Linked DNA regions of Macaca mulatta. Each later gene encodes a partner of the first gene's protein in a complex. Links are inferred from orthologs where the notes say so. Each region holds a gene or a part of one and is shown on either strand. Other genes may lie near its edges.

Region 1 (4,144 bases):
TGGTTCTTCTTTTGCTTCCCTGGCACTCTTTCTCAGTTACGGGTGCTGGTTCTTCCTCATCTCTTCTCAATATTCCCTCTCTTCCTCTGTGTTGTTGCTGAAGAACCATCTCCCCTCACCAGAGCACCCCATTCCCCTTATGGATCATCTCCAACACAGCACACATCACCACCTCATACTTGTTTTTGGGATGTTCACTGCTTGTCTCCTCACCACACCATAGAATCCATGACCATGGCCAGGCGCGGTGGCTCACACCTGAATCCCAGCACTTTGGGAGGCCGAGGCAGGCGGATCACCTGAGGTTGCAAGTTCGAGACCAGCCTGAGCCACAGGGAGAAACCCCATCTCTACTAAAAATACAAAATTAGCTGGGTGTGGTAGCGCATGACTGTAATCCCAGTTACTCGGGAGGCTGACGCAGGAGAATCACTTGAACCCGGGAGGTAGAGGTTGTGGTGAGCCGAGATTGTGCCATTGCACTCCAGCTTGAGCAAAAAGAGAGAAACTCCATCTCAAAAAAAAAAAAAAAAAAAAAAAAAGAGAATCCATGACCACACAGATTTCTGATGTTTTACATCCGTATCTCTGGCATCTGTATCTGTATCTCCCGGCATGCAGTGACATTTAGTAATGTGTGATGAGGGACTGACTCGGTTTCCAACCTGCCATCACTGGAGTTTCCCAGGACTCAGTTCTTACACACTTCTCTACTTCCCTCTCATCCCACTGTCTGCCTGCTGGCAATTTCCGTTTACGCCACTAGCCAGATACTCCCAGGAAATCTAGGCTCATGTATCTGACTGCTTAGTTGACCTCTCCACTTGAATATGTCATAAATAGGCATCTCAAACTTAATTATATTCAAACTTTCATTCCCAGTTTCCCATGAGCACCGCAGCCTTCCCCATCTCAGAAAATGGGAAGGCTGTTCCTCCAGTTGCTCAGGCCAAAAACCTTGAATTCAATCTTTCTTCCACTCTCCACTGAAATCTTTCCAGCAGCTTGTGCTGCCGGACCTTTGCACTTGCTATTCGGCCTGAAATGCTCTTCCTGCAGATACCTGCAAGGTTGGCATCCTCACTTCCTTTGGGTCTGTGCTCAAAATTCACCTTATTAGAGAACACTTTCTGAACCACTCGATATATCCAATTAAACACCCATTCCCCCTTTCTCCTTGTCCTGCTTCAGTGATCTCTGAACCATTTATTGCCACCCAACATACTATACATGAACCTATTTCTCTGTCTTTAGCCATTGGTATATATATGTTCTTCAAGAGTAAGGTTTCAGCTGCTCTGTTTACTGCTACTACTTCCCAGCCTAAAAACACTAGCCTAAACAGCCTAAAGTAGACGTCCAGTGAATATTGGTTGAATGAATTCACCTGTCTATTCCCACCCTAACAGTGGGGGTAAGGCCACCCTTGCAGGGTTGAGAGGATTAACTGAGACAGCCTCTGACAATGCCCAGTGAACACTCAGCAAATATTAGCAGAAGTAGGAAAACAACCTGTCTTTTGGACTACATGCTCCGAGAAGGGAGGTGACCTTTATTTCCCTCATGAATTTTATAACCCTTCCAGTTCCAAAAAGGATGAGAGGCAGTGCAGACAGACATCATTCTGTTCGGCTGAGGTTCAATGAATGGCCTTGCTGCTCTCAACCTCTTCTGGGTACTGTCCCCCCAAAGAAAAGGCGGGTGGGAGAATGGAAAGATATTTGCATTTTCATGCATATTAAGTCTCCCACAAAGATGGCTCTTTGTTTTCTTATGGTTTGCAAGTTCCTGAGGACTAGAAATCGGCGAAGGGGGAGGGGAGAGCGAGTGTTCTCAGACTGTTCTTCCCATCCCCTCCCAAAGCTAATCTCATTCTAGCACTGCACTGCTTTTCCAAACTAGCTGTTGTATGCAGTCCCATTCATCCCTTCTCTCCAGAACCTGACACCTGTGGCTCCTGCAAGTGGAAGGCCCGGGAATGGGGATGAAGCGGGGTGGTGGGCAGGAAAGTCATGCTCGGGGAGTCCTTAAAATTCTCCTGGAGGTCGGCAGCGGCGCCCGCCTGTAGCCTCGGGCCTATAGGCTTCGCCGCCCCTCGGCCTAGAACACAGCCCGGCCGTTGTGCTTGCGTGAGACGGCGGCCTCAACCACCCAGCGCCTCTGGGGATCCGGCCTCCGGTGCTGGGCCCGGGAGAGGGGGCGCCTGGGCACCGGAAGATCCGGAGCGTGCGGGGCGTGGATCGAAGTCTCCAGACCCTGGGCGGGGGAAAGGGGGAGGGAGGGGAAAATCGGGGAGGCCTGAGCTTCCAAACCATGGTGGGGGAGGTGCAAGAGCGCGTCCTGGACCCAGATCCGAGAGGGAAGCCTGGGCCCCAGGATGAAGGGGATGAGAAGGTGCCCGGGTCGCGGACCCGACTGGGGAGGGACGGCCCCGGCCCCGCACCGTGACGCGGAAGTGGGATCCCCTCCATCCTCACCTCTGAGCATCGGCTCGGGCCGCGGAATTACGGCCACCACCATGGCCTCCTCCTCGTCCTCCCCTTCCTCGCATTTGAGCGTCACCTCGAAGCAGTCGAGTGCGGCGCCCTCGGCCTTTAGGGCCATGGTGCGGCCGTGGGCGATAGCGGTGGCCGGAGAACTGGCGCGCAGGCTTCGCCGCGTAGCCGGCAACCGCCTCCCGCCTCCTGGCCGGAACAACGCCGGGCCCGCTGCCCGCTCCGCGCAGCCCCCTCCCCGCCACCTGCCCGCCTGCCGCTCGCCGGCCGGCGCTGCGACCGGCGCGTCCGGGCCTCCCCGAGACCTCGGCGCGTCGGGAGCCCGGGCGGGGAGGGCTCAATCCGGGGCCCCTGCCCCCCGCCGCTCCCTTTTATGGAGGCTCATTGTCGGCGCCCGCCCGGCCGGCCAGCCGCGGACCCGCCCCCGATCCCGCGCGACCAATCGCGCGTGGCCCCGCCCCGGGCACGCGGCCCCGTTGGAATCCCTCGACCCAGGAGGCGGCGGGAAGGGCCGAGCGGACCCGGGGCCGCCCAGTGCGCGGAGGCAGAGGGGCCCCCAAAACCCGCACCGCGGACGTCTTAGTCGACTGGCCAAGCCCGGGGGTTTCCCTCCGTTCAGAAGTCAGTTGGGCGTTTCTGCTGGCGTGGAGAGCGCTACCAGGTGCCCCCGGATTTTGATCCGGAGTCGCTTTTGCCTTTCCGTGGACAAGCCTTCCTCCGCCAGCAGATGCCCCGGGCAGGAAGAGAAGCGGTGGGGGAGTGGAAAGGGCCTTGGTATGGAAGCGTAGAGACGAATTCCTTCTCATGTGCCGGCTCTGTGGCCATGGGCACATTATCTGTTTTATTAGACCGGCTCATCGTTTCTTTCAAAAAGCATTTCGGACCTTTCTGGGAAGGCAAAGAAGAGGAGCGGAGTGGACTGTGAGCGGACATAAACCACCCAGATGGGTATGATTTCCATTTTTTACACGTGAGTCCAGAGATTTTGTGACCCTCTCCAAGGACATACAGCAATCCCTTGAGAGCCCCAAGACCAGAGTCCAGTTGCCATGACATTGCTTCCCTATAACCACACTCTGGGTGAGCTTTTACTTCTGTGACATGGAATGTGCATCTCCCTCTTCTATAGCAACCCTCATGAGATTTCAGCTCAGAAAATGCAAAATGTCTGACACTGAAAAAACATCTTCAAATGTCGTTATATCAAACCAGACACAGTAGTATTCAGAATCGCGTAGTAGGATGGGGGTATGAGAAGAGGTGTGAACTAGTCTATATGGATTGCAGTCAATTTTTTTTATTATTATTATTTTGAGACAGAATCTCCCTCTGTCACCAGGTTGGAGTGCAGTGGCGCCATCTTGGCTCACCACAACCTCCGCCTCCCGGATTCAAGCGATTCTCCTGCCTCTGCCTCCCGGGTAGCTGGGACTGCAGGTACGTGCAACCACGCCCGGCTAATTTTTGTATTTTTAGTAGAGACGGGGTTTCACCATGTTGACCAGGATGGTCTCGATCTCTTGACCTCCTGATCCGCCCGCCTCGGTCAAAGTGGGATTACAGGCCTGAGCCACCGCGGCCGGCCTTGCTGTCTATTTTTAAGGGAATTATTTTGTTGTGTGCAAGTGTATCCGGTATTTTAAAGGTTT
Region 2 (2,492 bases), on another chromosome or scaffold:
CATCAAGCAAACCATGCATAACGAGGCCTGGAAACCATCAAGAACAGCCACAAAAGAGGTCACTCGGACCTCTGATTCAAACTTTTGGTGTTTGAGTGATAAGCATGCACGTTTAGGCTCTGCCCAAATATCAGGGAGGATTTCCAATCTCCACAAGAGACTGGTTTCACATATGGCCTTTCTCCTGGTTATCAAACCACCAGGGTTCCTCCAAAACAAAGTGAGAGCAGCTGTTTTGCTGATCAACCAATCACACTAGCAGTTCTATTTCAGTTTAAAACAACCTTGCAGGAATTAACCACATAAAGACTCCGTGGCTAAGGGCTGCTATTACTTACACCCACCAAGCGAACACAAACGGCTGGCTTTCTTCTATGGTAACGCATCACTGACATGCAAACCCCAAGGGGCCACTGAATGGAATGAATCCACATTAACAGCACACCTGGAGCAGGAACATGCACCCCACAAGGTGTCAGGAGACTAAGCTGCTATTTGTCTAGACATTCTTTGTGAGGAAAAGCCAGGGGGTAGGGGAAAGGGGTGGGTTGAAAGTTTCTGACCATAATTATACATTAGCAATAATAGTAATAAAAATTTAAAAGTCCCAGAGAGCTTGTTAGAAGGCAACAATGCCACTCAAAACTTACACTTCCAATATAAAAGCACAGTATTCTTCCAGAAACTTACCAAAAACACGCAAACCAGTCATGTATTGTTGCCTTTTAAATTCATGTACTGAAATCCAGATTACCGATTTGTACACAATGTACCACATGTGCTGTCCAAAATACACCTACATTACACTGTGTGGAACAAGGACCTGGGCTTTGCTAAAAAGAATTTATGATTAAAATGTAACAACAACAACAAAAAAAATTCAAAGCTTAGAATTAAAGGTAGCCTTTTACCCAGATTCTTCACCAGATTGTAAAATTCTAATGAGTCATTAACTGTTCACAAGTAATTCATATTTGGACTTATGGTTTAAGGGCTCCAGATTGAAAAGGTGCTCTGAACTTCTGATTTTTTGAAACAAGCTGAAATGTTCCCATATGCTTCCTGTGCCCAAAGTTTAATTTGAAATAAAGAGCAGTAATATCATAACCATGACTGACTTGGGTAAAGCACTCCTGTTAAACTCAAGAAAATTATGTCACCCCCATACTAATAATCCACAAAGAAAAGACTGCCAGTGGGGTGTGTGGGGAGTATGGGGTGTGTGTGGGGTGTGTGTGTGTGTGTGTGTGTACACATGTATCTGTGTGTATATATTATATATGTATACACACATATAGATATAGGTAGATACAGATACATATATCTCAAAAAAGGCAATAACGAAAACATCAAACTATGCTTGCATTGTGGCGGCAGAATAAGAGGGTTAAGGTGAGGGGGAAAATGGTTAAGATCTATTACAATTTTAAATGACTATGATACTAGCTTAACTTTTACCAAACTTGCCTGTAACTCCCCTCCAAATAGACAGACTTCTTTTAAAAGAAAGGGGTTCTCCTTACACAAAATGCTTTGTGTTCACATCAATCTGTACTATTCAGAACAAAACCAGTTCTGCTGGCAGAGATTGTGGGTTCGCAGGGACATTTAAGCTTTCATTAAACTGGAAAGCAATCAAGTCTTTATGTCTACAAATAATACATTTCATAGTTCCACAAATTTGGCAGTTTGTGATGACATCTAGGATGTTTTCACCAAATCGTAGACATAAATATGGAAATCATCATCAAACTTGATGAAATAGACGGAGGGCTTGGCTTCTACTTGATGAATGACCATGCCAGTCCTTTTGGAGCCATCTTCTTTGGCATATTCCACTTGTTTGCCTACCAGGCTGTCCACAACTTCTCCTGGTTCCCTTTCTGCTGGAGGTGAATCATCTATATTTAAAAAAAAAAAAGAGAGAGAGAGAGAGAAAATTTCTAAAACAATTTTTAGATATAAATCAACTCATATTTATTTTCATAACTTAAAAAAAATTTTTTTTTAATACCCTGAATTCATGATTATCTAGACCAGGAGTCAGCAAACATTTTCGTAAAAGACAAGGCAGTAAATATTTCAGGCTTACGGGCATATGGTCTCTGTCCCAACTGCTGAACTCTGCCACTGCAGCACGAAAGCAGCCACTGATGATATGCATATAAACAGATGTGGCTGTGTTCCAATAAAACCTTTTATCATAGTTTGCCGACCCCCATCTAGATATATGAACAATTTTAAAAATCATAACCAAAAATTCATTTGGTCCATATTTAATCTGTAGCTGTAATTAAATGAAAATAAGTTTGAGTGGCTTTGAAATATAATTTGAAAGCAGACAATTCCTACAGGGATTACTGAGAATATGGCACATATTTAAAATGCCTAAGTACCATTGGTTTACTCTGAATCCTTAAAGCCTCTTCTCCCTCAACTTCACTGCATTTCACATCATCTTCCTAACTCAGTTCCAAAATTTAAGTTTTCTA

What was found. Proteins that work in one complex are often made in the same cells at the same time.
Region 2: the proteins of SPINDOC (region 1) and SPIN1 are in contact, whole or in part, in a crystal structure (PDB 7CNA), measured with the Homo sapiens proteins. The link is inferred for Macaca mulatta from reciprocal best matches to the Homo sapiens genes SPINDOC and SPIN1. Residues at the interface, in NP_612480.1 of Homo sapiens: Phe256, Ala258, Pro259, Ala260, Val262, His264, Phe265, Thr266, Asp267, Ser269, Phe270, Pro271, Gly273, Phe274, Val275, Leu276, Gln277, Leu278, Phe279, Ser280; in NP_006708.2 of Homo sapiens: Met154, Thr169, Tyr170, Glu171, Pro174, Pro206, Val209, Val210, Leu213, Lys216, Gln217, Val218, Glu219, Tyr220, Thr229, Val232, Val242, Tyr243, Ile245, Phe247, Asp249, Asp250, Tyr254, Val255, Tyr256, Asp257, Leu258, Val259, Lys260, Thr261.

Annotation. Positions count from the first base shown.
Region 1 is NC_133419.1:10,602,994-10,607,137, forward strand, and holds the start of SPINDOC (spindlin interactor and repressor of chromatin-binding protein), read right to left. Parts: upstream 2,908-4,144; 5' UTR 2,605-2,907; coding exon 2,478-2,604; intron 1-2,477. UniProt on the Homo sapiens protein: Chromatin protein that stabilizes SPIN1 and enhances its association with histone H3 trimethylated at both 'Lys-4' and 'Lys-9' (H3K4me3K9me3).
Region 2 is NC_133420.1:119,101,268-119,103,759, reverse strand, and holds part of SPIN1 (spindlin-1), read right to left. Parts: intron 1,902-2,492; coding exon 1,702-1,901; 3' UTR 1-1,701. UniProt on the Homo sapiens protein: Chromatin reader that specifically recognizes and binds histone H3 both trimethylated at 'Lys-4' and 'Lys-9' (H3K4me3K9me3) and is involved in piRNA-mediated retrotransposon silencing during spermatogenesis.